Drosophila melanogaster: one gene and its partners. The gene in region 4 interacts genetically with the main gene of each other region. Each region holds a gene or a part of one and is shown on either strand. Other genes may lie near its edges.

What was found.
Region 1: of kcc (region 4) and jbug, changing one enhances a phenotype caused by changing the other (phenotypic enhancement), as found in Drosophila melanogaster (one study listed by BioGRID).
Region 2: of kcc (region 4) and jus, changing one enhances a phenotype caused by changing the other (phenotypic enhancement), as found in Drosophila melanogaster (2 studies listed by BioGRID).
Region 3: of kcc (region 4) and tau, changing one suppresses a phenotype caused by changing the other (phenotypic suppression), as found in Drosophila melanogaster (one study listed by BioGRID).

Annotation. Positions count from the first base shown.
Region 1 is NT_033778.4:22,732,204-22,739,669, forward strand, and holds the start of jbug (jitterbug), read right to left. Parts: upstream 4,843-7,466; 5' UTR 4,639-4,842; coding exon 4,402-4,638; intron 1,994-4,401; coding exon 1,343-1,993; intron 1,103-1,342; coding exon 797-1,102; intron 516-796; coding exon 1-515.
Region 2 is NT_033777.3:29,190,687-29,198,479, forward strand, and holds the start of jus (julius seizure), read right to left. Parts: upstream 4,308-7,793; 5' UTR 4,202-4,307; intron 1-4,201. Other genes in the region: CG14515 (uncharacterized protein), read left to right, coding at 6,948-7,381.
Region 3 is NT_033777.3:27,645,988-27,653,592, reverse strand, and holds the start of tau (tau), read left to right. Parts: upstream 1-2,838; 5' UTR 2,839-2,900; intron 2,901-3,690; 5' UTR 3,691-3,790; intron 3,791-3,885; 5' UTR 3,886-4,531; coding exon 4,532-5,843; intron 5,844-5,984; coding exon 5,985-6,028; intron 6,029-6,405; exon of another isoform or gene 6,406-6,494; intron 6,495-6,783; exon of another isoform or gene 6,784-6,957; coding exon of another isoform or gene 6,958-6,996; intron 6,997-7,067; coding exon 7,068-7,257; intron 7,258-7,349; coding exon 7,350-7,552; intron 7,553-7,605. Other genes in the region: RpS10a (ribosomal protein S10a), read right to left, coding at 266-757.
Region 4 is NT_033778.4:23,907,164-23,914,617, reverse strand, and holds the start of kcc (kazachoc), read right to left. Parts: upstream 4,009-7,454; 5' UTR 3,795-4,008; intron 3,228-3,794; 5' UTR 3,158-3,227; coding exon 3,067-3,157; intron 2,942-3,066; coding exon 2,750-2,941; intron 2,431-2,749; coding exon 2,297-2,430; intron 2,235-2,296; coding exon 2,152-2,234; intron 2,087-2,151; coding exon 1,984-2,086; intron 1,890-1,983; coding exon 1,784-1,889; intron 1,722-1,783; coding exon 1,592-1,721; intron 1,533-1,591; coding exon 1,414-1,532; intron 1,351-1,413; coding exon 1,132-1,350; intron 1,077-1,131; coding exon 920-1,076; intron 861-919; coding exon 601-860; intron 540-600; coding exon 287-539; intron 1-286.

The DNA of each region.
Region 1 (7,466 bases), 1.2 Mb from region 4:
CCATCTAACCCATGGACCGAAACTCCGGATGCATCAAACACGGCACAGGTGAAGGGGCCTCCCTGGATGTGGCGACCCTGGTAGGTGATGGCTATCTCCCAGATACCTGCCTCGTCCGGCTTGAATATGGCACTGTGTCCCTCGTCGATCTTCTTCAGCGGGCAGTTGTGCGAGATGCCCGTGGGCGAGACCGCCGTGACCAGGATGTCCTCCGTCTTGGGCGCACCGGTGGCATTGACCAGCACCTCGACGAGACTGCCCAAGGCACAGGGCGCCATTCCCGGCGGAGCCACCTGCAGCAAGCGCGGCAGGGCTCGGAAGAAGTGTCCGCCCAGACTGTCCTCGCCGATCTCCACCACAATCTCATGCATCCCATAGCGCTCCGGCACAAAGACTCCTTCGCCGTGGGCATTGAGCCGCACGGGCTGTCCCGGCTGTCCGGACGGAGGAACCACGTGGCAGCGTACTGAGCTGAGGCTTATGTCCCGGGACATTACGTCGATGCGGAAGTGGGTCTGCGTGTGAATCGGACATTAAAAATTTACGCTCTGCACCTGGCAGACTGCAGTGTTCATATACACACCCACAGTGATGGGTAAAATAATTGAGCTGACTAGTAAAAATATTTGTTTAATTTAAAAATTGGGAGCTATCTTTCCAGTTATATTGTAAGTAAACACCACTGATCGGATTTGTGTTAAGTAATAATATATATTTTTTTCTAGTCATGAGTGCCCTATTATTTTGCCACCATCTGTACATTCATATATATATTGTATATATATGCTTCACTCACCGGTTCGCCCACCCGACCGGATGTGCTCTCCAGGTAGACGCTGACCAGGTCGGACAGCGGAGGCCTCGGCGGCACCCACTGCAGGTGGGCCGCGTAGGCCATGATGCCCAGGTGCTCCACTTCCGGGTTGGCCATGTCCTTGGCCGTCAGGATGGGCTGCACGCCCAGCCGGGCGCCCGCGTCCACCGCCTTCCGAATGTTGTTCTCGTAGTGGAAGGGATCGGTGCTGAGCTTTTCCGGTGCGGGCGCCGAGCCACCCAGTCCCTTAATAATTTCGCACATAACGCGTCCATCGTTCCAGTCGGTCTGCGAAATGAAAGTGCCATTATGGGATACGATTATTATTGGTTGGAAAAATACGAGAATTAATAAGTATTTATGTTCTTTTTAATGCAATTGTTGCAGATGTACATTAACATTTGTTCAACGGATTAAAAGGTCATATTTAAATGCGGTGAAAAAGCGTGTTTTATTGTAGAGCCATAAGGATTTATTAAAAAAGAAGGCTGCTTTATAACTGATATGTGATTATGGATATTAACATACCGTAAAGTTCTTCACAGGGTCCTTGACCTGCGTATTCACCCATCGCATGGTGGCATTGTAACCAGGACCACCGGGCTTCATGAAGTACGAGAGGTACGTCATGCCGGACAGCTCATCCAACCAGGGCGAGGCGAGGTACTCCGGTTCCAGAACCTTGGGCACTCCAAACTCGCGCTGAGCCAAGTCCATGGCCTGGGTGCAGTTGCGCACACTCTGGCTGGGATCGAGACTTCGCCAGTGCGGGAACAAGCCCGGCTGGCAGTAGTCCAGGAGCGCCGCCAAATTGACGCCACTATTCCAATCGGTGGTCAGATTGGTGATCCTGCAGTCCGGCAGAGCGGCCTGCAGCCAGGCCAGCATCAGTTTGCGCGGCGGGAACTTGCTCCTTCCGATCTGGTAGCGCACGATAAGGGACCAGATCAAGCCCAGGATCAGCTTTATGTTCCCATTCACAATGTCCACGTTGCCGATGTTCACCAGCTTGATGTGATCCGCCTCGATGGACTTCAGCGCCGTGGTGGCGTTCTCCAAATAATGATGCTGGTTGGCGGGTCGGCGATTCCACGAGGGTTTCAGTGGACGCGTCTGCAGATTCTCCACAAGGGCGCACAGACAAGTGCCATCGCAGAAATCGGTGGCCCAGTCATGAACCTGAGAGACAATGGGAATTTGCATTAACTTCTCCGTATCATTAGAAATAGTAATGGGAAAGTTTGTGGCAAATAATTAGATTACTGCTGGAATACATTCCGTTTAGCAACGCAAGTAATGTGGCAAGTAAGAGATGGGAGTGCATTCCATAATAGGTTTATTATTATAATTGCATTTAATATGATATTAGCTTTTTACGGTCTAATGGATTTGCAAAATGTACTTTTATTAAGTGGGTAGTTTTTACTTTTCCATTCTATATAGATTTAATTTTAAAAAGCATGCTAACCCAAAACAAAAAAATGTTCGAAAGAAGAGATTTTTTATCTTTATTTAATGACTCTAGCAGCATTTTCTTTATAGCTATGCATTAGTTGAGATTACTAGACTTGCTGTAGTACATATGTACATAGTTCCCAATGGAGATTAGCAAATGTGCGAAACGCCTACCATGTCTGCGCAAATGCAAGAAGGTCGCTTGACTGGCAGCCTTCCTAATGAGCAATCAACGCCCCTTCCGCAAACTGGTGGCCCACTTTGCAAGGTAAACCGCTTGCTCGGAACTTGGAGCATGGAGCTCAGATCTCGGAACATGGCACATGGAGCTCAAGAATGGGCTTGGGAACCCAACAGGTTCGCTGCTCCGAACTGAGCGGCTTTCTCCGCCCGGGTGCAACCAATTGTGCGCGATTTTAAGCATTTGACATAAAGCTTTTTATCTGGCTGCTGTCGGCATTCGATTCGACTGGGGGGAACTCCACTCCACTCCACTCAACTCAACTCAACAAATAAAATACGACAAAAAACTGGAGAACTGGGTACGGAGACAATCGCGTGTCTGTTGCTGTTTGTTTGTGCCTAGGAAAATATTCATTGGATGCCATAAAAATCTCACATCGCACATATGTAGTTGCTCCATGGCTCTCTAACAAGCTGCCGCAGGTTGTTATTTGTCGCTGCTGTTATTCCGCCCTTAAATTTTTAAGATTCCTCTGATTTTACGATATGAACTCGAGTTTCGTTGGGAGTTGCGTTTTCACCTAACAAAATATATATGTACTTTTATTTGCATATAAATTTTTGCTATATGTCAGAAAATGTCTAGTCATTCTATTACGACAGTTCCATGGTGGCAATCATTTTGAGATAATTTAATTCTACCTGCCGCAACTGTTGTTGCACTGCATTAAAACGTTAAGGTCATACAATGCAGTCACTTTGAATATTTCTCTCCGTGTATCTGCTCCCATCAAAGCATTTCCCTTTTGTTTGCACATGCATTTGTCATACAAAGTGGATTGCAATATTATTTGTCGCATACGCATGAACTAGAATTGTAAACAGCGTAAAAAACGCAAACTTGGATGACTCGTTTTGGTTTGGTGACCCAAATAGACGCCAGCCAGGTCACAATTAGCGCTGTTTACTAAGGGGTCTTCAGCCTTGCTCATCACATATGTACACATACACGTATGTATGTACGTTTTTGGCCCAACCGAAAAAGTAAAAAAAAAAAAATAAAACCCCGAATTTTATACTCGAAACCGGGCAAGATCGCGCACAAAAGCTTTAGCTTGTTTTGTGTATTGTAACTGCTAATGGGAACTCGATGCGTTGGCCTTGGCATTCAACCGGCCAAATATGGTCGGTTCAGGTCGTTTCAGTGCGGTGCGTGTGAGAAAATCCGTCGAAGCGAGTGACAGTTCAAAAGTCCCTGGACAAATGAAATGCATTGTTGGCAGTACACATAAGTCCGTGTGAGTACTCTTGGCATCATTGTTAATGTAATTGTCGTTGCTGCCATTGGAGTTCAAGATCTGCGTGGGCGATTGAGCCGAGTTTTATGAGCCCGGCCTTTTAGGGAAACTCGCGGAAGAGCTCGAAGCCCCAGTTTATGATGGCGATTTATACTTTTACGTGTTCTGTCACCAGTCAATGCGCTCGTTATGCGATTATATTTAGCTTAAATGGGATCAGTATATGAACTTCAAAAACCTTGCTTTTAAAGTGCTTCTTAATTGCGATTTATAATAATCGAAAATTTTATTTGTATAGAGTTCAATTAAAAAGTGTTCATTATTTCACATATTCATATTTTGTTTTCTATCCCTAATTACACTTCATTAAGCAGTGCCACTTTTTCTATGTGCAACTGCCTTCGCAAATCATTTCCTGGCTAAAATTCCAGATCTAAACGTTTTGTATTTCACTCATCGATTCTCAGGCCCTGCTTCATCAATAGTTCTACGAATTCCACATTCAACGGAGCTAGCCCATTGATTGGGTAATTGTTTTTTGCGCTTGATCGATCAGATATTCAGTCGGCGGCAGGCATTACTCAGTCGGTTAGAAAGTGTTGCATAATCGGAATGTAAATATATCTACAATATATCTATGGCTTAACTCACCTGCATTCCCGTTTCACGCAAATGCTCGTTGACCCAGTTGCGGAATGTGTTCGCCTGGATCTCTACCCAGAGGTCCTCGTTGCCCCGTATGTTCATACCCTTGGCGGCGGTGCCCTCGGGACTCCGGGCCACCAGACCGGCATGGGTGATCTTCTGCGTTTCGGTGGTTCCATCGGAGTTGTGCTTGAGCAGCCCCGCATGCGTCACCTTGGCGCCTTTTATGTCCTTGACGTCCATCTTCACTGCACGTCACTGCACTTCACCTGCGACTCGCACATATGTATGTACAGATGTAACTCGCGTTCGAAACACTGATCGGGAGAAATGGATAGATCGCGATGAGATACTTCTGATCGCTGTAAGTTGTAGCTATGCTATTCAGTTTCGGTTTCAGTATCAGTTTTAGTTTCGTTTGCACGCGCTCGCGGCCCGAAGCGAACTGGAACTGCGCTTAGCTGGTCGATCTGGGCGGCTCTGCTCTCTTGGCCTGGCCAAAACAAACGATGACGTCATGGCCAAAGCTCAAAGCTCCAGAGAGCAGCAGGAGAATTTATAAAAAAAAATGCGGGGGGTTTCGCCAGCGAATGTGTGTGTGCGAATATCTCTGAATCTGGCTATAAAGCAAAACTGGTTTCGTCGCTTCCAAGCCAAAACGAAGCGAGCGAAAAGGAAAATTGAATACAAAAATAACAAAAAGGCGAAAATAATACAAAAAAAAAGAGTCTGTAAAATAACAGAAATCACTTAGTTTGGAATTTCGCCGCGGCAACAGCAGGCAAAAAGCGAGCAGATCTGGTGGGCAGTACTGTGGATGCCAGTGGTTGTCGTGAATGTGGCTGTTTGGGCAAGTCTTTCACAAACGTTAGAAGGCCAACATGTGTGTAAACGTGGGAGCCACCCCAGAAGATAATGGACGTAATCACAGCAATGAAATCTGCCACGATCAATTGTCAATTGTTCGCCCGTTTTCACTTGTCGCACTTTTACCCAAACAATTTGTGCAAACCGAAAGTTGGCCGTCTGAATGGCCTTTTTGGCATTTTTCCACACGGCGTTGCGAAGACAACGAGGCGTCAAATGACCGTCTAACCAACTTAATTATAGGAAATCCGGTTGCGTTTCTAAACAAGTCAATTGCCACAGATCGCATATATCATAGCACGTCCAGTTCTGAGCGAGGCTGGTATGCAGATTTTGAATACGAATACGAATACTATTTATTGACAAACACTTTTCGGAGAGGTAAACAACTCTGGGATGACATCACTCATCACTTGCTCGGCACAGCGATGAGTTGTGGCTTGAGCACTTTTTTAACGCCCCGACAGGAGAATACAGTGCGAGAAAATCATGCTGACTAATATTACAAAAGACAGTTGACGTAGCTAATCTAGTAACTCTTCAATGGAATTCCTCTTAAAACATCAATTAACTACTTAAATACACCGCTTTGCCGCAAACTAATTTGTACCTTAATTTATTTTAAGCAGAGATGTCATTGTTGTGTTTTTGTCTCAGTGACAAAACTGCGTGGCTTGGATGAAATAAATTAACCAGCGGGGACAGCAAAAAGTGGAAATTAATGAATTGCTCCTCGGACTTATGAGTGATCCCGTGGCTGATGTCATTTACTGACACTTGACATTGGCAATGAACCTAATTAGTTGCACTCGCCAGCGGAGTGGAATGAGCCCCACTACTCGGCGAGTTCTATAGATTCAGCTGGCGGCAAGGTCATGGGAATGGTCATGATAATGGTATTGGTGGTGCTATTGGCCAAGGGGAATGGGAATGGTAATGGTAATGGGAATGACCAATCCGCTTCTTAGTTTACTCAGTTGGTCAGCAGGTAAATATCGAAAGTGTTGTCGTGACTTTAAATGGCAGAAGAGGGCCAGCTAGCACACCTAGTTTAGGGCATTACGTAATGGCCGAAATTTTCGACTTTGAATGGGCAAAAGTGTACGTATCGTAGGCTACAAATCGGTGTATCTATATCACAGAATGCGATGTGCACGTAGGTGTCTGGCATTTTTTACACTTTTCGATTTGTTTGCTGTCCGAATATACATTCGTATATACTTATTTCGCTTTTTGCCTTGCAAACCCACACGGCCAGCCAAATCTCGTAGTCGTCGTCATCGGGACAGCCACCCACATGGTTGGTTGGTTCAACGCCTCGTTCTAGACGTGGGTGCGATTTCAAGTTTGATTTGTGCCAAAACCGTGTACCAAATGGCCATTGATTTCTCAATGATTCTGTAGTGGCTGCCTAGCTACAACTCTGTTTGGATCCGAGCTGTGGGAATATATTTGGTTAGATGTTCTATGACAACGTCATTAACTTTGAAATATATGAGATTAACTGGAGTGGAGGTGAAGCCCATAATTATGTTGATGGATGGTTACGGAATTTACTACGAAAGGCTGTTCTAGAGATGAACCTCGAAAAATAAATGATGATTGAGTTATTTCATCAATTAGGTTTCTTAAACCCTTTTTTTTTTCAATATTCGATTTCTATTATAATAGTAACAGGCAGACTTAACTTTACTACTCAGTTGGACACAAGCCAATTGTTGCTTGGATTCCCTGCCAAAAGAATATAATACGATTTAAAAGTTTAATACTACATTGGCATCCTTTCCAAGATTATTATAAGTAGATTCAGTGCTATTTCCTTTTTAGACTAGGGGTGGGCTGTTTGTTTTGTCTGTTGGTATTACATATTCGACTTCCTGTTGGCCAAATGCGATTGTAACACTTGCCACGCCTTACAGTTAAATGATGGCCTATTAGCGCACGCTTCTATAGCGAGTAAGCGCTTATTTTTGGCATCATTTTTATGGCGGTTCGTCATAAATAGAAAACACTCCAAACGATGTGCTCACACATACGCACAGACATACATATGTACATATGTGTTCCCTGCTCTTTTTGAGGCACTGCCAAGTTTGTGTCTTCAGTCTTTTGATTAATGCCGTTAGGCGTCGCCAAAGCGCAGCCAAGCCAAACCTTCTTGGTTCGTATGAATGATTGTGTGTGTGTGTTCTTTTGTTTTTTAA
Region 2 (7,793 bases), on a different chromosome or scaffold from region 4:
GGATATACCCAATAATACCCATCGATTTCTGCTCTCGGCATGCAAATCTTTCGCTTTTTGCAGTCGCTCGCCGGATGCAACTGCGGATGTGGATGTGGCAGTGCTGGGATGAGATGCGACGGAACGGGAGATGCATTGGGTTGGGATGGCGCCTCCAAAATGAATCGCCTGAAAGTGCTGCAATATTTAACATTTGCGTCGTGTGCAGGCCACGTGCGAAAAGTGGGGCTTTGGGCGAGTGGCACATATAGCCACCAATGCGGAAGGAAAATGCGATTTTTCCAGGCTTAGTCACTGGAATCCACAAGCTCTGGAATCCATTTAGAGCGGCGTGAAGTGGCGCTAATCGAGTGCCGTTGGATGGTCATTGGTCATTATAATGCCTGCAACGCGCACTCCATTGATCACGCACGAAAAATAAAATATGTGCCGCTTGTGTACTATAAATAGAACATGGTCTAAAAGGTGGCATACACTCAGAGAAATAATTGCTATGAACAACCTAATATCATAGCTCTGGCGAGTAATGTTACATCTAACTTTGAAGGAGACAGTTAGTTAGTTATTTGTTTGAATGCAGATATTATAGCAATATCGCTATTTATATGAAGTATGCCATTATAATTTCTCCCAGTGCACGGCTCCACAATCGCTGAGCCAAGTGTCGGGGGTGATAGAGTGGCATATGCACTTGCCATGACATGGTTAATGTGACAACGACTGTTTGCACAGTTTGCTTAATATTCCACACGTGCTGCCGCACATATAAAGGACTATGTGGCTGTACACATGTAGGATAATGAGGGTGTCAGAGGTCGACTTTTCGACTCCGGGCCACTCGACTCCTCGGTTCTGTGTCATCAGCGAAACGGGGCCAGTCGACCGCTGGCAATTTTATTATTTATCCTGGAGGTGAACACACACACACACCCACACACACAGCGAAAGCCCCAGAGATGCGGCATTTAGTTATCCTTAAGCTACTTAAAGGACAGCCTCACCTCAGCAAAATTAATTAGTGCACTTAAGCTAACCGCGCCTATGGGAAGCGCTGTCAGCCCTCGAAAGATCTAGAAGTATTTGCCCGAAAATTAAGTATACGCCGTGGCTAGCGCTGTACTTCATTGGCATTCATGCGCTGACCCACCGCAGCAGCCATTTGCCAGGGGAAAATCAAGCAGATAGTTTCGAGCAAAAGGATTCAAATGTCGAAGCGAAACGATTTTCCAAGCAGCCAAACAATTTATCTTCGCAGCGCCGGCGCTGGCTGGCCTATAAAAATGGCAATCATTATTATAGTCATGTACCAGGCAATGGGGCGTTACGGCAATCAACGCCAGCGTCCCCGCCAGAGCTCCATAAATAAGCGCGCAATTTCAATTTTCAACAACGCCCCAAAGGAGCTCATACTCGAGCTGAGGAGGAGCTGAAGAGGCCCGAGAAGCGAAAACCGGAGACAGACGCAGGCCGCATCGAAGATTATATGGTATATGGCTTATATGGTAAATGGCAGGCCGTGGTGTGTATTTAAATGCATTTTTTAATAGCCATAAAGCGGGCAGCTTGTCGGCCTAAACGGGAGGAGCACCAAATGCCAGCGGGCGCACTTAAAGGCCTCCTCCATGCGGATTTCGATTGAGAGTCCGCCTTGGATACGGATACTTGGCCGGGACAAGGACGAATGCGCAACTAAAACAAGAGAAGCCTCCTCGTACGGGGAACGTCGTATATAAATTATAAACGCAAACTGTGCGACAAGGATTTCTGGTTGGGTTTTCGGTTTGCTATACGGCATGTCTGCTCTTTCTACTTCTTTTTTTTTCAGTTTTATTTCTGCCGGTCGACATGCGATTTCGATGGCAAATGATTTTGCATTTGCCTGAGCGGTGGCGTGGGGCTGTGGGGTGGATATGGCGTATAGGGCGGCAAATCGAAGCATAAACGGGCATGCCACATGGTGCAAGTCGAAGGTCAAGGGTCATGCCGGCAGTCGGATCTCCTCGAAATTTACTGCAACACTTGCCGCCGGCGCAAAGGCATCACATTGTGGCATATATACTTTAGTTGTATTTATAGGCTGGATGGAAATTGATGACGTCTCCATCGGCAACGCCCCCCTGCCAGCCACATATATCCTCGAGATCCTTCGGCTGCGCGATGTCATGCCGCATGCAGATTGTCGTGCAGCTAGTAGCGAAGTAACTGCCACTGCAATTGGAGTTAGTTCACTGAAAGAAAGGTGATCCTAAAGCGAATGATATAGAAACAGAATATCGGAAAATGTAACCAAGTAAAGGTTTTTAAATAGATAGAAGATAACTATCCACTACTTTCTTCTGAGCTTTGCAAATGTATCTCAATCTAATCAAGGGTTTTAACTTCTTCCAAGTCTGAAAGATTCTTTAAATGCAGCTGACTTGTTCGTGATCACAGTTACACCCTTTTTCTTCAAGTGTTTGCAACGGCAACTGCCGCAAAGTCTGTGTTAGCCGGAATCGATCCGAAGGAGGAGCAGCGCAACTCGAGTCCTTATAACTTCACCTATACTGTGCATGTGCACATTCGCCAAACTCTGTGTGTATATGTGTGGCAAGGCGAGTGTGATGGTGTGAGTGGAGGCCAGACCATGTGCCTATGCCGTATCCTTACGCCTATGGATATGCCACGCGATGTGATTGTGAATGCGAAAATGTGGCGACGTCGAGGGAAAGTTGTGCTCCCAGCGAAGTTCGCTTTGGTTTGGTTGGGTTCGGTTCGCAGTGGTTTGGCTTGGCTTTGTCGGGGGGGGCTGCTGGCCCCAAAGCTTCTGGGCCAGGATGACGTAGTCCTCCGGCTGAAGTGTGTTAGTATGTCTGCCCTTCCGACTTGGGGTTGCACACACACACCAGCTCACAGCGTATCCATACAGGCGCAACGAGGGTGCGAAGGGGCATTAAATGGTTCGTGTTTTCCCTGCCCTTTTTCATATTTTCATTTGTGCCTCATCTCGCCCGTTTGTCGCCCATATTGGGGTCGCCTGACGGTTCGTACTTTAAAAGCGCCATTTAGTTCGCGCGCAGCCTAAATTATTAAAAGCAAATCCAACACACCGCACACAGGCAGTTCATTAAATTCAATGTATGCAAAATAGCGGCAACAAATGCGGCAAAAGGCAATCTTCCGCCACCCACCCACTCGGCCATCCAGCTGTTGTCATTTTCGAGCCACGAGCCTCAAAAAAGAAACAAGTTTGCGAGGCAAGCTCATCATAATCATGTGCCTTCCAAATGCAGGCGGAGAAAAGTGGGACACTTTTGCAAGAAAAGATGAGAAAATGTTTGAATTTCATCAGTGCTATGATGATATTTCACACAAATCATACTTATATACATACGCAGCAAGTCACATTTCACGAATGACAAATTCCATTGCCTACTTTTAGGCACTACCACAACTTTAGGCACCACATTGCTTTTAAATAGCCATAACTTTAAGATCTTTTATAGATTTCTGATTAGTTCAACTCTTTTCTGGTTATGAATTGTGTTTATCACAGTTTCCCCCCACAATTTGAAACTACTGCAGCGAGTTTTCGCTGCGTGTAGCAACTTTGCTGCGCAAATATGTTTCGCCAACTTCAATTTGTGTCCCAGGTAGTAAGTTTACCGCTGTGTGCGTATGTTTGAGGGGCATGCCGTGTTACTGTTGCCATCGCTGTGTGTGTGTGCGAGCTTGGCTTTTTTATGCGTCACGTGAGAATTTCCTTTATTATTATTTGACTTGGCTACCTCGGTACATATCACGTATACGCAACGTATAATTCCGCAGAAAGGGCATTGATTTTTTTGATTTGCTTTCAGTTCGGTTCGCCATTCCCCCCTTTTCGTTTATTACTTTGATTGCTTTTCACTGTTTTCTTCGTTTTATTTTTTTGTTTTTCTTTTTTTTTTGGTTTGAGGGCATGGATACGCTGCAGTTTGTGATTTTCTTTGCCCTGCTCAAGAAGAAAAATATTTGCTTGCCATTTATGTATATTCTGTTTTCATCTCGTTTTTTTTGTTGTTGTTTGTGTTTGGCACTTTTGGGCATTCGTTTTTTATTCTTGTTGCACGCTGTTCGGTTCATCACCACATTCACACACTTACACACTCATTCACTGACTCACACACACACACACACTCACGCGCGTAAGAAATATACTACTAAAATACAAATTGCTCACAATTTCCTTTGCTCTAGATAGTTGTTGTTGCTGCTGCTGCTGCTGCCTCGCACTGTTTGCTTTCCCACTGGATTTTCTCGGAAAACTCGACGACCACGCGCTTCGACGTCTGACCACGTTCTGAGCCGAATTTCCCACAGCCTTGGTGGAAAATGCGAATGTGGCGTTGGTGAAAAGTCTGCGAGGAAAAGTCACCATCAGGCGGCAGCCGCTTTTCCTCTCACAGGACCTGCGCATTTCCCGCCTGCAGGTGACACACTTTTCCGCGCCAACCGTCGCCGATGAAGTGGATTTTTCGACCCCTCCTCGGGCCACCGCTCCATCCCCCCCTCTGAGCCCACAAGCTCCACTATTTACATGGCACATCGGTTTAAGGCGGCTGGCAGTTTTCCTTCGTTTGCCCACTTTTTTCGTACTTTAGGTTGAAGTAAATTTCGCATGCATTGGCCGGAGGATGGATGCACTGAAAGAAACACATTACCAGCTTGCATATTATATATATATTATATATAGATATTAATTGATAAAATATTTAGCTTACTTATATTTTTAAACTCTATGATAATGGCATGACTTGATGCGTTAAAGTTTTGTAAATAGTGTATTTTATATATAAAAAAAATCAAAAATATCAAACAAATATGAATAGATTAATTCATAATAAAATGAAATTCTATAATATTTTTAGTATATTTTTCTCTGTGTAGCGTAACAAGACCTGGTGTGATGTGGCGCAAATGTCATTTTCAATGGCCGAAAATTTCGGTATGCTGCTGCCCAGTGCAGGGAGTTGAAAATTCGCATTCGCCGCATCCATAATGGATGATATGTCCTTTCGGCCCGCTGATCCTTCGGTTAAAGCAAAGCCACCGGGTTAACTGACCTTTGCAGTGCGGCCAACTTGAAATGCAAATAAGCGCCAATGTCCAATTGTAAAGTTCAGCAATCTAGAGTATTATTTATCACGTTTCAGCACAAACACATTGCCAAAAGCAAACAATTTAGTTTTGTGCGCAAAAGTTGCTGACGCTGGCACGTGCAATTTGAATAATTAACCGAACATTTTAATTAATGAAACAAGTTTGGTATTGACTTGGCCCAAAGTGTGAGTGCGTGTAGATACACACACTAGCACTTAAAAGTGTGTTTTGGCCCGAAGTGTTGTTGGTCATTTGCGCATTTATTAAATTAGAATTTGTGTGCCATTCGGTATGCTGTTTGCAGTGCTTGTGAATAACAAAAAAAAAAAAAAAAGATAATTAAAGTGAGCAGAAATAATTGGGCACTTTATTTATATTTTTTATTTAGTTACCATTCTAGCTATAAAATATGCTGCGAAAATAGGAATTATAAAACACATAGCTGTGTTGTGTGCCATTTGTTATAGTTTAATTGATAATTATTTCGCATAATTATTTCTCTTAATGAGTATAAACACTATTTTAAAACATTCCGAACAATTTATAAATGAAAATTTAAGCAAATGCTTAAAGTTAAAGAACTGACTTAATTATTCCATTTGTATTCCAACTGACAGCAGCTGTTGCAATTATCCCCCTTGCCAAAAACTAAAGTGAAAATGAGGTGGTGGAAAACCATATTCCACGAAGGAATGGCGTTGGCGGATCCCAGAAAGGAAACCGCCGACTGAAGCTGTGAAATGCGAAACGCAGCGGTATCAAAGGGGGAAAAGCGAACTGCCAGAAAAAAATCACAACTGAGAAATCAGAAAAAGGAAAAACCCAACCGGAGCCAACTCAATTCAGCGAAATCAACGCCAACGGCGGCTGCCTGTCAATTAAAACATTAAAACGCGCTGAAAAATGCAGCGAACAGGCGCAAAGTAAACAAACTGCGGAACATGTTGCAGTGCGGACAGCATTTTCCAACATTTTCCAACATTTTCAGCGATTAGAAGCATAGAATTTCGCAATGGAGCACTTAGAGCAGCACCAGAGTTTCGGGCCCAGACCACCAAACCGAGCAAAGAAATCCGATTCGTCGACCAGGGGAGGGACTAATGTGTGACCCAGTTTGGATCACTGTGCAGGAAAGGAACTCTGTGTGTTTTGGCCATTTGCTTTTTGATCATTAAAAACTGGTTGGCCGCCGCCAGCTGAGCGCCCCACTACATTTGCGGTCAGCTTAATAGCACCGCTGCGGCCATAAATTAGTCAAAGAAAATCTATTGGGATGGCAGCTGGCATCTGTCAATGATTTATTCTTGACACATCATTCCGTGTTAGTTCTTTTAAGAATTAAAAACCAAATAAAATAATAGTAATGATTTACGGTTGGGTCTTAGTGCAATTGTTTAGTAAATAAAGTTATCAAAGGCTATTAATTACTATTTATCATAACAGTTGATCAACAGCAAAGAGTTCTGGAAGAAAAGCGTGGAATATTCGTTTATATTTTTGCATATTTTTGAATATTTTTTTAAACAGTACAAATAACTTTTTAGAAAAAGTTTTATCGTAGTCAAGAAAAAGATGATTTAGCGCACTGACTTCTCCAATAGCTGGCTTTCTTGGATAGCTAAACGCTCCTATTCAAACACCCCCGACTGTGGCTATCTGTCCACTTGAACCGCCCGCCCATGTCTTCGGCGGCAGCGTCGCTTGTGGCATTGCCGCTTGGGTTTATAAGCGGCCGGCGATGGCGGCGGCGAGCCGAGTTTCAGCGTCAGATTAGCCGAGAGCGCGCGCGTTTTTTCCCACGATCAGGAAAATCGAATTCCAGAGCCATGAAGGATCGATTCAAGTGGTTGTCGCTGGAGCTGCTCCTGCTGATAGGCGCCGCAGTCGCCTTTCCGGACGGCGCTCCGGCGGACACGTGCGTGAAGCAGCGGGCGAATCAGCCGAATCATGGCAAGGCCCGGAGTCAGCCGGCTCACTCGAATCCGTACGAGGTGGTGGCCGATGCGCAGACCTACCATCCCGGCCAGCAGATATCGGTGGTCATCTACCCGCACTCGGACCAGAGCACCGTCTTCCGGGGATTCTTCCTGCAGGCGCGTGATGCCAACTCGAACGAGTGGATCGGCGAGTGGGTGCAGAGCGAGAACACCAAGACCATTCCAGAGTGCTCGGCCATTACGCACTCGGACAACCGGGACAAGCTGGGCGCCAAGCTCATCTGGAAGGCACCGCAAAATAAGCGGGGACAAGTCTACTTCACGTAAGTTGGAAGTTATAGGAGGAGTGGGTTAATTATATAGCTCAAGCCAATGGAATTATTAGAAAGATCTAGAATCTATAATCGAACTAACTTTCAGTGTTAAGTAGTGCTCTTACAGTCACAGCAAACAACTTAAATGCATGCAGAAGTTTCACTACCAACTTAATAAAATAAATGACCGCTTAGCACCCATTTTTTCGGACAGTTTCAATGAAGCACTTTGTCAAAACTGGCTTCGTACAACGCAGTTCGTGTCTTCTATGGCCCATCACCCTCATAATAATCATCATTATCATCGGAGGCGACGGTGGAAGTAGCATAAGCCGTGGCAACATCATTGTGCCTCGTGAAGGGATTCATTAATCATACGCCACGTTGACCCACATAATGTAATGCGCGCATAATTGTCAGG
Region 3 (7,605 bases), on a different chromosome or scaffold from region 4:
GCGACACGAAATACGCGCCACCTGAGGTCCTAGTCAATATAGCCATAAATTTTGGATCTTGATTAATTGATAAGGTGTCGATGTCAACTTGGGAATATAGGAATATGTTACTTATTATACTAGCAAACTATAAAACTCTTTTACCTGCGAAATGCATTTCAAAACTAATTGACACAAGGAATAAACACTTTTAGAACGCATATGTATGAATGTAAAAAAAGGTGCTTATATCGTTTTTATGCAACAACTATATTTTTCCATTATTTTAATTGTCGTAGCGAGAAGCACGACCGAAACCGCCACGATATTCGACCCGTCCGGTTCCGGCACCCACATCGCCTTTCTTGTCCATTCCATATGCGCCTGGACCGCGTCTGTAGTTCGATCTGTCGTCATCGGTTTTGGAGGCGCCTCCGAATCCTCCTCCGGGTCCTCCTGGTCCTCCGCGCGGACGCACTGCGTTCGATCGAGTAGTTTGCGTCAAAGTGGAGGGCACAATCTCCGGGGGCAAGTGCAGATAGCGGCGCAGTTCCTCGATGCCCTCGTTGGTCAGCAACCAGTAGAAGTGGCGCCAGGCAAACTGCTCCTTGACCCAGCCACGTGAGTTCAGCGACTGCATCACCTTGATGACTTGCAGATTGGGAATCTTATCCAGTTCGGAGTGCTTCTGGATGGGCGAGTCCTTCTTGGCCACGAGCACACCCTCCTTGAAGAGGTACTCGTAGATGGCGACACGATTGGCTTTTGGAATGAACATCTTGAAATAGTCTGATTTAATTCGAAAAATTCGCAGAAAATGAAGATGGAGCTTAGTGTGGCCAGCTTAAATTAGTATTTACCGAAACTTCTTTCATTCATTCCTCACGTTTTTGAGCACTACCTATTGGTATTGGCAAGCACCAATAAGTTTTTCATAATTTGAAAACAAGTTTGTAGTTCAATATATAAACTTGAGGATCGTGATACCATTATTTCCTTTCACTTTAAGAACATTTGGCTCAGCCCCCTTATGATTTTGAAAATAAATTATATGCGAAGCTTTCTTCATTTTCTGTCAGTGTGTTTCCTCCTGCATTTTGCTGGATTAGCTGCGTTTTAAGCTTTCGCACTCCTGAGGAGGAGCTGTGATTCATCTTTTGCGTCGCAGGACATTCTGACCAAACATGCGCAATGCGAGCGGCGGCAACCACATGAGGAATTCCTCCCCCACAGGAATGCTGAACAGAATAATCAATGAGCGAAACGCAGACACAAATTGACCAAGGGAAGCCAACCAAAAGGAAGGCATGCCGATAGATACAACGTAAACCCACCACCCACCGACCGGCTGCATCCCCCCAAAAAAAAAGCTAAACAAATGCCGGAAGGAAAGGAAAACGAAAGCGATTAGGGGGTGGCAAAACCACCCCCCTTGGAAAAGTGTCAACAAAAAGCAGTCGACCTTGCTTAGCGTGCGCTTCCGATTAAATGCACTTGATTTACATAACATTTGAGTAATTTTCTACTAATTAAAATGGTTACCAAATCGATTATTCCATTTTAGTAAGTTCAAATAAAGTGGTAAACTCTAATGCATAAGCTGTGTTGGGAGAGTATAAAATCTGCCCTTAGCCTTGCATACTTATTGTTAATATTTATATTAGTTAATTTCGAATTCACATGGCTGTTACGTGCAAGCAGTGCTGGTTTGGATATTAGCTCTTCGCTGGGTTGTTGCATTAGATTAGCTTGGACGGCAACCTAACGGCAAATTGGATATAATATCAGGCGAATTCGTTTGTTTTAGTAGAAAAATATAAAACCCGCTAAAATAAATATATATAATAAAAAGTAAAATTTTAATAGAATTTTAAAAATAGATAAATTAAAAAATAAACGCTTTATATTAAACAAAATTTTCTCTTTTACTTCCAGGTTTGTATTCAGATTTATGGAACTTAATGAGAACTTAAAATGGCTTCAATTATGGTTATGTTAAATACAAAGAATCGTCAGGAAATCAAACTAATTCAGTCCTAGAGTAAGAACCATAACCTTGGCAATCGAAATTAGGCTACAGAACTATGCAGACATTAGCCCAGGACTACGCTCCTTCCACGTCTGAGTCTGAATCCTTGGCTAACCTCACGTCAGTTTGGATCTCCCCAGGTTTACTTTTATGTCTACGCATTAGAGCGCCGGAGTTTTGCGTGCTGCCTGCTTGTAAATAAATAGACAACAATTAGGGGAACCTATGACAACAACACCTGGATAATGGAAAGGTGCGTGGCAAGCGGTGCAAGTTGGCTCTATGTGGATACAAAAATATATATGCCACCCTCCCGATTGTCGAGGGCAAAGGATTGGGTCTGGGAATGGGAATGCACAAATGCGCGTCGAAATGCCTCCCCCGGTGGCCATTAAATTAATCAAGTCAAATGAAATCTGCATATAAAATCAGCGTTATAGGCTCCCCATTCGCTCATTGTTGGCGTGTTGAATTTGCATTTTTCCCCGGCGCCCCACTAATAAATTTGTATGTCAATAGAATATAGCCAGAATACAAGGGGCTGCTCCACCAAAAATATATCCTGGCAGCGCTTTGAACTGCGCAAGGACACATTCTGTTTATGCGCCCCGAGAAGTTTACGAGCGACCACGCTCCGCCAGACCAAGTTGGCGTATCAAAACAAATTCTAAGTATTGTAATTCGAAATTTTTCAAAGCAAATAAAAGCAGTCGAGTTTTAACACTCGCGCCAAACACAACGCAGTGCAGGGAGCTGGCGTCGTAGCTCCACCAGAATATTTCAATTAAATAGAAAACAAAAATATATAAAAAAAAAATATAAGAAAATATAAAACATATTATATTATTACGCGATTTTGTCACAGTAGAAGTGTGTGGTTACTTACGCCTAGGTAAATTGCACCTTCATTCCCGTGTTCAAGCCAAAGTGCAAAGTGCATTAGCCTTCTCAGGCTGTACGTGGCCAAGTTATTGCCCCCTGGCCAGGAAAATCGATACAATTGCATTGCATGGCGCTTGTTTTGTTTTATGGCCAACTGCAACTGCAACTACAATTGATAGTCTTTGGACTGTGTGATAAAAATCGCTACTGCAGTGGCGCCAGAATTCAATTGCCAAAGGACCAAGTTTTGTTAACCATATTTCACCGAGGGTGAATCTAATTGAAATGCAAGCCACGGGCTTAGGAAACTTTTGTGCTTGCACCTGTGCAACTGTTGACTTACCAACCCCATTCCACTTGGCTGATAATCAATTTGGCCAAGACCATTTGGCCACAAATGACAGTTGAGTTGAACGTTGTTGTGCGGTTGACATGAACATTGTGTGGAATTTCGGTTTATGTCAGCCGCGAATAAATCACAAATCATTGTAGCCCTAATTTGCAGTTGCTGTTTCTGCCAGGCCTTCTTTATTTTGTACTATTATATATATATATATTTTTTTTTTTGCTACTGCCAGGAAGTTGGCGATTCCGACTCTGAGTCGGCACAAGTTGCAGTTGCCTCTTTAGTTGGCAGTCGGATGTGGCACGTGCTGAGGTCATAGCTCCTCCAGTTTAAAGAATCCCTCGTCGTCCTGTGCAATTTTATCGATTCGCCCGTCAAATGTAACACACACCAAAAAAAAAAAAAAAGCACTGGAACTTAATGCAAAAGTTTTCGGTTTTTTCTCCGCATTAAGTTAATTGCCAGGCAGTGCCGAGAACCAGTCTATATAGACATAGTCCCCGATCCGAATTCGAACAGTAGTAACCCACTCAGATATGAGTGATACCGATGCGGTGAGTTTTGCTTGAATTCATATATATTTTGGAGCTGCACTTAGCGCACACCGATTCGCCCATGCACAAATGATTTACGAGCATAATTTGCATAGGGAATGATCCAGGTTAATGGATGTATTATTCCGCCGACCTTGCACATACATCATTGTCAGTGGAAGGAACCCTTTTGCGAAACAAATCAAACAGCGATTTCTTGTGGCCCGTCGATTTGGGCCTTAGAACTGCCAAAACTTTTGTTGAATCAATAAGCCACAAAAACAATTTGGGTCACGTTACAGCTGGCAACCGGATTTCATGACAAAATTCCCTAATGGTAACCAAAGACCGAACGCCCGAACGCCAAATACCCAAATATCCTTATAGCCATATAGCCAAGTAGCCAAGTAGTGAATACCAAAACAATAAAATGTAAACAAATGCAGAAAGAGCCATCAAATTTGAAAGCACCCACTCAATGTGAACTATATTGATACGTACGTCTGTTCCGATACACGAGCTTTAGCTCCACCATTGGCACTTTGGCAACCCCACAGTTGGCAGAAGTAAAAGTAAGCCCACAACGATATATGGCCATACATATGCAAATGATATGGGCCAGTTTGCCGGGGCAGCGGAGCATGTGGGTGTATATCGATGGCATTGGCCACCAAAAAGTGGCTCCGCCACATATTGGGTTACCAGACACTTGCACATTTCTGCACCGACACCGCAGGCGAGAAGTTCTAGTCCTTCGCTAGGATGTACGGCACGGGAAAGGATCGCTCCGGCCAGGAGATTATTTCTCCACAGGATTACCCAGTGCAGCAGCAGCGCGCTCAGTCCAAGTCAGAGTATGTCATGAATTCCGCATCTGTAGATCGTCCTCAGCAGCAGTCGAGACCACAACCCACGCAGGATTATGTGCCTTTTGAGTCCTCCGATTCATCTGTGGAACGAAAGAAAGAACAGCCAAGTGCTCAGTTAAGCACAGATTATACCAATAGCAACACCACTTCGGATAGTGCCTCCTACGGCTCAGATTCAGTTTCCAAACAGCAGATACGATCTCAGCAGAATCCAGAGTATCAGAACAATGCCTATGAGGCACCTAGAGATGACCGCAGTCAACTGCAGCCACAGAGATCCCAGCCAGCTACCGATTACTCTGCATATGAACGTCAGCAACGTCCGCCACCAACCACACTAGACTACACCACCGGCTATAATGCACCACCTAAAGATCGCACCACCCTGTCACGCACCAACTCGCGGCCCACCCTCTCCTCACCCAATCCCAAGCTCCAAAGTATACCCAATACCGAGTATGTGCGACCACCACAGAACTTTGTCTTGCCACCGCAGATGCGTCCCGCCGTGGGGCCACCACAGCCGCGTCCTCCGTTCGCCGGAGCCCGACCTATGGTCGGAATGGGACCACGACCACCCATGCCGCCGAACATGGCGGCCAGGCCACCACCGCTGCGCAGCACAGACAGCAAGAGCAACCTGCTAATGGGTCCACCGATGCGACCGGGCATGCCACCGCAACTCAATATGCAGCAGGCTCGTCTGCCCAATGCCGGCGGACAGCTTAGCCCGCCGGGCCAGGGACCACCAAGGCCACCAGGCGGATTTCCTTGGAATCCAGCCGGGGCACCGGGAATGCCACCCGGAGCACGTCCGCCCCAGAATATGACGCGACCGCCGCCACCTACTTTTGCACGCCCGCCGCCGGGACAGCCGCTGCAGGCACCCTTCAATCGACCGCCTTTCAACCAGCCGCCCATGCAACCGCAACAGCAACAACCACCACAACAGCTGCAGCAGCAGCAGCAGCAGCAACAGCAGCAGCAACACATGCAACAGCAGCAGCAACTACGCCCACTTTCGGCAGCCAGTGCACACAACAACAACGATGACGACGACGACGTGGTCATGGGTCCCGCGGTGACCCCGCTCAAGACCTTCAATTCGAGGCCCGATCCAATGGGCGAGCCCCTACTGGAGGACATCGAGCCGCCCTTCCAGACGAGCCCCCCAGCCGGAGAATCCAAAAAGGGGCCCGGCTTCAGTAAGACTCAGATCGATAAGCGATAAACCAAAGACCATTAGTGAAGCCATTTAAGAGTTTATTTTTAAAATTTAACTATCTCAATATGATTCATGATATATCCATCCATGCCTCCCTCATGTATCTTTTGGTTTATTTCAGAGGGCGACAATGACAGCGGCGTGGATGAGTCCACTCAGGAGAAGGTGAGTTGTTATCGGTTTTGAACCAGTTAACTAGTTAGCCATAAATTGTTACCTCTGCTGCGTCTCCGTTAATTGAGAGGAAATTAACTGGAACTGGCAACAAATTAATTTAATTCCGCGTGCCTTTCCTCCGCCATGAGTTCTCAAATCATAAATATCTGTAAAAGGCCGGGGCAACCAGCGGGCGATCTTCGAGCTACAAGCTCCACGCTCCATTAGAGACCATATAGCAGTATATCACATATGTAGCATATAGCATATAGCATATAGCATATAGCATATTGCCTGCGACAGTTCCGTCGCTCAGTTCCCAAGTTCGTGTGCAGACGTTAAAGTTCAGACTAAGTTTTGTGTTGGCAGACGGCAGTTGGCGCGTCGGAAAAACCCGCAGAAAGTGCGACAAAAGTCGAAGAAATCAAAAGTATATGTACTACATGTATATATGTGCAATAAGTGAGCTTCACAGGTGCGAGTGAAAAAGTGGCAGAAAGTAGAAAAAAAAGGGCAAATATGGCCAAAACCCGCCAAAGAAACATACACAAAAAGCGATTTATATGCCTGGTGATATCTGCGCACAGATAAGTGCCAAACACGAAAACGAGTTGTGGATTTCCAGGGGGGTTTGGGTTTTTGGGGTAAATCGTAGCTCAAACTTACACATACATACATATATCCAAGTCGGAATTGTTGTCTCTATAAATACCCATCCATATGCAAAGGCGACACGAAGCGGCGACAATCGATAAAACAATGCATAAACTATAAGTCCTTCGTACCGAGACATCCAAAGCCAAATCGGCAGGCGTACGGCCGCATGGCCATAAATGCCATTGGCATTACGTTGACAGCTCCGTAAAGTCCGGGAGTGTTGAGAGCCCAGTAGTCGTAAATAGATAATAAACTCGAAGTCAACACAGATACTTACCAGGATGCATCTCGTTATAATGGCCGATGCGACCTACTTGCTAGTAATCCACATGGTCTAACCATTCAGCATAGTTAGTTTGCTAAATCGTGCGCTATGTTTGTTTCTCGGCAGGATCGCAACGGACCCAACTCGCCCAGTTCGCCCGTAAAAACGCCCACATCGACCTCATCGAAGCCGGACAAGTCGGGCACGTCGCGTCCACCGAGTGCCACGCCCTCGAACAAGTCAGCCCCCAAATCGCGCAGCGCCTCCAAGAACCGCTTGCTCCTCAAGACCCCAGAGCCCGAGCCAGTGAAGAAAGGTGAGAGACCGTAGTTCCATCTATCCACGTGAAATACTTTACTATATCATATGATCTACATATATATATTATCATTCTGTTTGCTTCACCAGTTCCAATGAACAAGGTACAAGTCGGACATGCGCCTTCACCCAATCTGAAGGCGGTACGCTCCAAGATCGGATCCCTGGACAATGCCACCTATAAGCCGGGTGGCGGCCACGTGAAAATCGAGTCCAAGAAGATCGACATCAAGGCGGCACCGCGCATCGAGGCCAAGAACGACAAGTACATGCCAAAGGGCGGCGAGAAGAAGGTATGTTCGTATTGTTCATCCTCTAGACCAGCGTTTTAATCCATGGGAGGGAT
Region 4 (7,454 bases):
TCTCCCGATAAGCCTAGATATATAAGATATACATAAGAACGCCGCTCCGCTGCTGGCGTACCCGGCAGCGCAGCTACGCGGATTAGCCTAAGTCCAAATATATAAAAAACTGTAAAATCGGAGAGACTCTGTAGACGTTGAGCTGACAGAACCATTTCTGCCTACTCTAAAATCAAAAGAAGAAATTGAATAAATATATGTCAGCCCGACGGCTGCCTTAAACTTAAAACGGACTTGTGTTCTTAATTGGAGTTCATCATTACAATATGATCTGTGATTAACTCACCCGCGGTACTCTATGTATTTGTAGATAATGATGGCCATTCCCATAGCAATCAGTGCGAAATACCAGGAAGTCATGATCATGACTGATATGCACAGCGTCAGGCCGATGAGCGACAAGCTCCAGTGGTAGAACTTGAAGCGCGGTCTCCAGTTGGGAGTCCTCAGCAGGGTTTGCACAGCGCAGGCCAGGTTGACAAAGCCGTAGCACATGAGGAAGAACATGGACAGCAGAGGAGCCAGCAAGTCCACGTTGCCTGTATTTGGTATAGATATTATATTCACAGCACATACAATATGATACGATCCGATGCTTACCCAACAGGATGCCGCACTGGCAAATGACAATGGTCAGGAGCAGCGCACGGGTGGGTTCGCCACGCTTCGAAGACTTGGCAAATGGAGCCAGGAAGGGGATGATCTCATCCCTCGCAATCGCCTGCAGCAGTCGGGGTGCTCCAGTCAAACTCTGCAGACCAGCGCCCAAGGTGGAGAGGAAGGAGCCAATCAGAATGACCCACTGATTTGGCCAGGCAATATTGGCCACCACCAGCTTGCCACCAATAGACTGACCGAATCTGGAATAGTTGGATGATGATAAGCCATGGCAGAGTCAGAGAATCACTATGCTACTCACTTGTCCCTCAACAGGAGATTGTCCACTGTGCCGGCGAAGAACATAACGCTGGACAAGTAGACTGTGCTGGTGGTCAGAATGGCACATATCGTTCCGATGGGTATGCTCTTCTGGGCGTCAGCCAGGTCGCCCGATCGATTGGATCCAGCCATGATGCCTAATGTAGATTGGCTTGAATATCTGAATAGTTCTGTCTGCGAGATGCTACTAACCTGTGACCGATGGGAAGAAGATGCCGATAAGAAGGGTGAACGACGTGGTAATGTCGGCCATGATCTGGTTGTATGACTCTCCACTAGTGTTCTCAATGTCAATTGCACTCTTGCCGTAGGATATGAACTGGCCCTTCTCCAGGAACGAAGGGAAGATGTTGTCGTAGAACACGCCACTGGCCAAACCCTTGATGCCCTTGACTTTGGTCACGTTATTGGCTATGGAGGATAAGGCATTGTAGTTTCGGTATGGAACACTCTGCATGTATGAAGGGATCTTACCCAGGTAGTATTCCTCGCATTTACCATCTGGGCAGTATATGTCGCGTAAGAAGGAGTCTTCCTTTGTGCAATTCTCCAGCGGGATATCCTTCAAGAGTCGTTTTCCCAGAACACACATGCTGCAATCGGGCGGAGATTAGATGGCCGCTCAGGGGGCACGTACTTGGCGCATACTTACTATAGCTTTTCGTTGCCATGGATATTGTCAAATATTCCCACATACACCGCTATTATCGAAAGGATGACGCAGGCCAGGGCCACCGTCGCGAACTTATTGACGAATTTCACGCCCAGGAACACAATGAGACCTTGATTTAGTGGCGGGACATTAATGTTTGCTCCTCACTAGTGGGCCACAGGCTTAACTCACCCATAAAGATGAGCAGCAAAGTGCCGTAGACCCTGAAATTGTTGTACATCGCGTCAGCGTCCTTGGTGAAGTCCCCAAATATCGATGCCCACGGCGCCATGTATGTCTGCAATGAATAATTAATGAGTGCTTAAGTAATGGCACTTTCGAGTGGAACTGCGCCTGGGATTGGTGCCTGGGAGTGGGCGCTCTTAACTCACCAATACGATTTCCACGGCACCAACGATGTACATCGCCGCTGCTAGCGTGGTGCCCGTATAGAACAACATTCCCACCGCTCCGCCGAATTCAGGGCCCAGGGATCTGTTGATGTTAATCGTGGCACCATTAGAGTTACTACTACCTCCTACCAATGCCATTGTAATTACCGTGATATCATGAAGTAACTCCCGCCCGCCGGAACCACCCCGTTCGTTGCAATGGCCGACATCGAGATCGCGGTTAGCATGGTCTGCAAAGAGGAGTTTGGAGTGAGGCCAAATGGGGGAGGGCTCAGCAGCAGGACGCTCTTACCACACAGCAGCAGGTCAGAACAATCAGGAATCCACACACGGCGCCAGCCGTTCCAACAACCCATGTTAACCGAATGAACAATATGACACCAAAGATGTTTTGAATGCATGGCAAGAACACTCCAATTAGGGTACCTTATGAGACATTGAAACGAGCGTTAGAGATTGATGCTTGGGGTCATCAGTTTAATGAAACCATTTAGGCAGGTGCCCGAAAGTATGCACTCAATCGCGGGAGCGATTCCCTTCGATTGTGCCACACTACTGCACACTGTTGCATACTTTCGAACAGCTCTATAATATTCGCCCGCACAGTGAAGGCTGAAACACTTTGAGGGGATTACAGCAATCATTCCTCCACAGCTTTGTTGTTTGCTGCGATTCCATTGTGCACATGCCTTTCAATATGGGGGTAGATGGAACAAGCAAGTTAATTAATGCGCGGCGAACATACCCATTCGAGCCGATGGAGCTGCCGGCTTTGCATCGGGATCGGTGGCCGCTGGTATCGTGTTCTCATAATTGGCAATTGATGAAATGAACGTTGATATATGGGGCCTGGTCTCCAAATCATCGTCGTACAGATATAGATTTGGGTCGATGCTGGACTTCTGGTTCTCCTCCGCCCTGTGGATATCACCTGAGTCTGTGGATGCACAGGATTGAATAGAGTTCGGATATCTTACGTTATGTAATTAAGCTACTAAGCACTAGTAGTGAACACTATATATGTACATATATACTATATAATTGATATTATCCCCTGCATACCTTCATTTTTGGTTTCGTGAACTGTACCATTGTGTTCGGATGGTATTATTTCCATTTCATCCGAATCATCTTTTGCACTGTTACTTTGCATGTTAACGTTGGTTGTTTGGTTTCAAACCCTTGCTTTAGATTGCACTATGTTCACTTAAAATTAGGTAACACTAGAGGAGAACGTGGTCAAGAACTAAGAACTAAGTGGGCATGGTCCTTCTTCAGACGGAGCTCCACGCATTGGGATTATATAACCCAAAAGGCGTGGCCGCTGCGGTGTATATATTCACATGTCTGCGGACGTGTGCCTATATACTCGAGATTTGGGTTTGGTTTCGGAAGGGAGCTCCTAATCGGGAAATGCCCCAAGAACTCGGAGGTGGAGGTATGATGGGAGGTGGATCAAAAATTGCGTCCGGCAGGCAGGGCGGGCGGGGATGCTGCTGCGAAAGTTGAGCCAGCTCGGACAGAAAAAAAAAAAATATGTAACCGATTAATTTAGGTCAAGGATTTTCAGGCCGTCGTCGTGGGGCGGTAAATAAATGCCGTAAAGTCGTCCTTTTCGCCGTAAAGCGGCTCTCGAGCTGGCTAAATGCACCGAAAGTGCGGAATGCAGCTGAAAATGGTTACGAAATGAGGCCTTTCTATGGGAATGCGGGGTAATCCTCCTCGACACCGAGTGCCCGGATCTGGGGTCTCCGGGAGGGAATTTGGACACACTTTCTGGTTGAACGCACTTGTATTCATGTATTTGATTATTGTTAGAATTTCGTCGATTGTTTAAAGTATGTTATTTGTTAAAGGTGCTCAAAAAGAACTGGTTTCTCATGTTTTCCCGTTTTTCGTATTTTTTTTTAGGTTTTTTGTATTATGCGAAAGAAGACTCCTTCTAAAGTTATTTTAGGCGAGCGAAAACGCTCAGATGTATGCTACTTTTCGTTCGGATTAATAGAAAAACTAAGAAAACTGTTGGTATTCGGCCGAATAAAAATTATGTTGCCCAGGACCCTGAGCGTTCAATTGAGATGAAATCGAAAGCTTTTGTCTACACACATTTTTAATACACACACACTCTCGCAGGAGAGCGAAATCGAGAGCGATGCTGAGCTGAGCTAAGCTGAGCTGTGCTGGGAGAATGGAGAGCGCCTCGTTGCAGGTGTACATTTCCATTCGGTGGCCCACAGCTCAGTGGGGCCACTGAGCCCACTGCCTTGGCCAGGACCTGCCCGCCAGCCAGCCAGCCACTCTCACCCAGCATCCGACGTTCGCTGGAAGGGATTGCGAGAAAGCTGCGCCGCCCTCAATCTCTCACTCTCTCTCTCTCTCTCTTTCTCTCTCTCTATCTGGGAGCTTTCGTCAGGTACTACGAGCTTTGGCTTACAGCAGCCGCGAAATGTGTCACCAGGACATCCTGGATTCGGACTGGGGCAACTGGGGCAGCACAGGATAGGATTGCAGGGCCGTAAGCTCTATCTGGGCATACAGTAGTCACTCGATGGGAGGGGAAATGCGTGTGCCTGGGGGTGAGCAGGCGAAATGTGCTGATGGGACGAAACTCAGCAAGGACCAGATGAAATTGCACACAATCTCTTCAGTGTTAATGGTTCTTGTGTATGTATACATCTTATCTAAGTATGTATAAGTATATATTAAGAAACGAGCTCTTATAGTTAATAGTAAAACTAAAGTAATAATAGTGGCACAAATAAAAATGAAAACATCCTTACCATCGTACGACCCATAGTTCTCACCTAGGGTTTCGTCGTGGATGTCCCCCAGTAGCTTGCCGCTCGCAGACTCATCCTGGTTGTAGTCCAACGCGGTGTCCTCGTCAGCCTTTGTAACTTGAAATCTATCTGGCATATTTGTGGATGTAAGGCACTCTGAAATGGGAATGACATTAGTATCGTCGTTGCTAACATGGAGACCCTGCCGAGGGCACGGCTAGGAATTAGCGATCAAAAGCATTCCCGACGATCGCTAGTCCAGTGCGGCTGGTTCCGAATTCACATAAGCTCCCAAGATAAGGATAACATTTCTGTTCCGAATTGCAAAGCCCACCAAATAACTAAGACGGTTAGTCCGCCCCCATCATTACTGCCGCACCTCAACTGGTGTGATAACCCGTGATCGAAGGTATCTAGTGAGTCGCACTATTTGCATGAGATTAGTAGTCCGCTATCACATGACCATCGAACTTGGTGGGTGTCTGGCCGAAATGGGCCACTGCACCTGCGATGTATGCTCCACTTTCGGGCAGAGATAAAGGCTGTTTCCGATCTGTGGCGCTAATCGCTCCGCACTCGCCGCGAGCTGTGAGCGGCGAGCTTAAGATAACGACCATTTAGTGCCATTTAGTATGCCTCAGCGGTGTTATGTCACCGGCTTGGTTACATAAGGCACGACTTGGGACACACAAGATGCGCTGCGATGTGCCAGACGTCGAGTGGGAACGGTTTTGGCGGTTTCCTGACCCTGCCACCGTGATTCCAGCCCCCACCCGCAGCGACGAATTGATAGGCGAGCATGTGTGTGGCGCTCTCAGCGAGATCGGGCTCATCCCGAACCCAGACGAGGCAGCTGGCCCAGGTGGAGGCCATTACACGCGCGCTGATAAGTGCACAAATCTGTTCCCATCGATTGGGCCGTCGCAGCCGCGTACACACAACAGGGGGCAGATAGATTAGTGCAGATACGGGGCTATGTACGTGGAACACAAAGAGGTGCATGCAGATACGTACATCCAAACACGCACATACGCACGCATGTACATATGTACATACGCAGAGGTGGTGGTGGTGGCGGAACAGGATGGACTGGACGGTGTTATCTAACCCGAGGATGTGCCCGCCCAGGCCAGCCACTGGACATCCGGACACTCGTGCGGGAATGCTTTTGGGGGACAGCGGATTCACTCGATTCGATTTACTTGGGCAAGCGCCTGGAATTCGCCTTCACCGACGATCCGATCCGATCCAATGTGATGCGATCCGATGCACTTGTGCTGGGCAGAGCCAACGGAAACGTCCTTTGTAGAATTGTGTTTACTTTTGGGGGCTTCGACTCCTGCTGCCCGATGTGGGTGAACTTTTCAATTGTACGAATAAAATAAAACTATCATATTAAAGGCGCATGAGTAATACAAAATGATTTTCCACCGTATATACTTTGGAATCGCGAGTGGGGGAAAGCGTAGTATTAATGAAAAGTCCAATTGAAATCAAATGTAACGCATAGGGGACGCCGAGTGGCGATTGTATTTTGGAAAACACGTCCCCCAAGATATGTTTATTGCAATTAGCACCCATGATACCATCTTATGGATGATTCCGCCTTGGCGTCCGTGAACGCATAAAATTACTGATTCCGCGCTAAGTTTACAAGGCAGTGAAAAGAGTCTAATTGGCTATATGGGCTATGGGCATCTGATGTGCGCCGATGTGGGTGTACGTATGTAAATACATATTATATTCATATGCATATATACATATATATATTGGGTCCCTAAAAATATTTTTAATTTGCAGAACGGCGCATTTTGGTATAATTTCCAAATTTGCACAGTACATTCATGCAACGTATTTTTTTTTTTTTTTTTTTTTTTTTGCTAAAGAAGTCAATAAACCCGTTAATGGGAACGGATTAAACGTAATAACATTGATCCTGTGTTTTTATTTGGCAAAAATCCTTAAATTGCTTAGAATTCAGTAGTTACTAAGTTAGCCGATAGTTGGGCGAGCATATCCAAATCTCTTGCTTGACGTCTTATAAGAAATCCGATTTGTTAGGAGCGTTTCAGAATGTTTATATTTTTCCAACTTAGGCTTTTATTTTAAAGCGAAGTTATTTTAAATATAGTTATAACTTAAGCCACAGCTGTTTTATTTGGTTTGTTTTAGCCGATAGTATCGATAGGCAATTCAGGATCACAAGCATCTCGATTCTTAAAATTTACCGCTATATTTCGAAAATAAAGTTCAGTTTGTTAAAAAATATTAAATTTAATAAATTAGTTAGCATACAACGATTAAACTAATTACTGATCTGGTGCAATAAAGGTGAGGCTTTGCTTGTTGTTTAACAAATAAATGAATTTTAAATGTGCAGGTTAACTAGCTATGCGAGTACAACTTGTAAATAGAACATTCAAATTATTATCTAAAAATTAAAAAAAAAAATTAAAAATATTGTTGCACTGGGAGGGTTTGCGTCTCGGCTGGGAAGGTAGTGTGACCACAGCCTGTCATGAAATAGCACGTTTCGAAAGAAAATGGACCCCTCACCGCCAAAGCGCAGCATTCCTTTTTAAACATTTTCGTGGCGGTGCTCATCGTGCGTCTGTTCTAACCGAAGGTAAGTGGCGAATTTCTGACTGATTGACAGCAATTCGGGGGCCA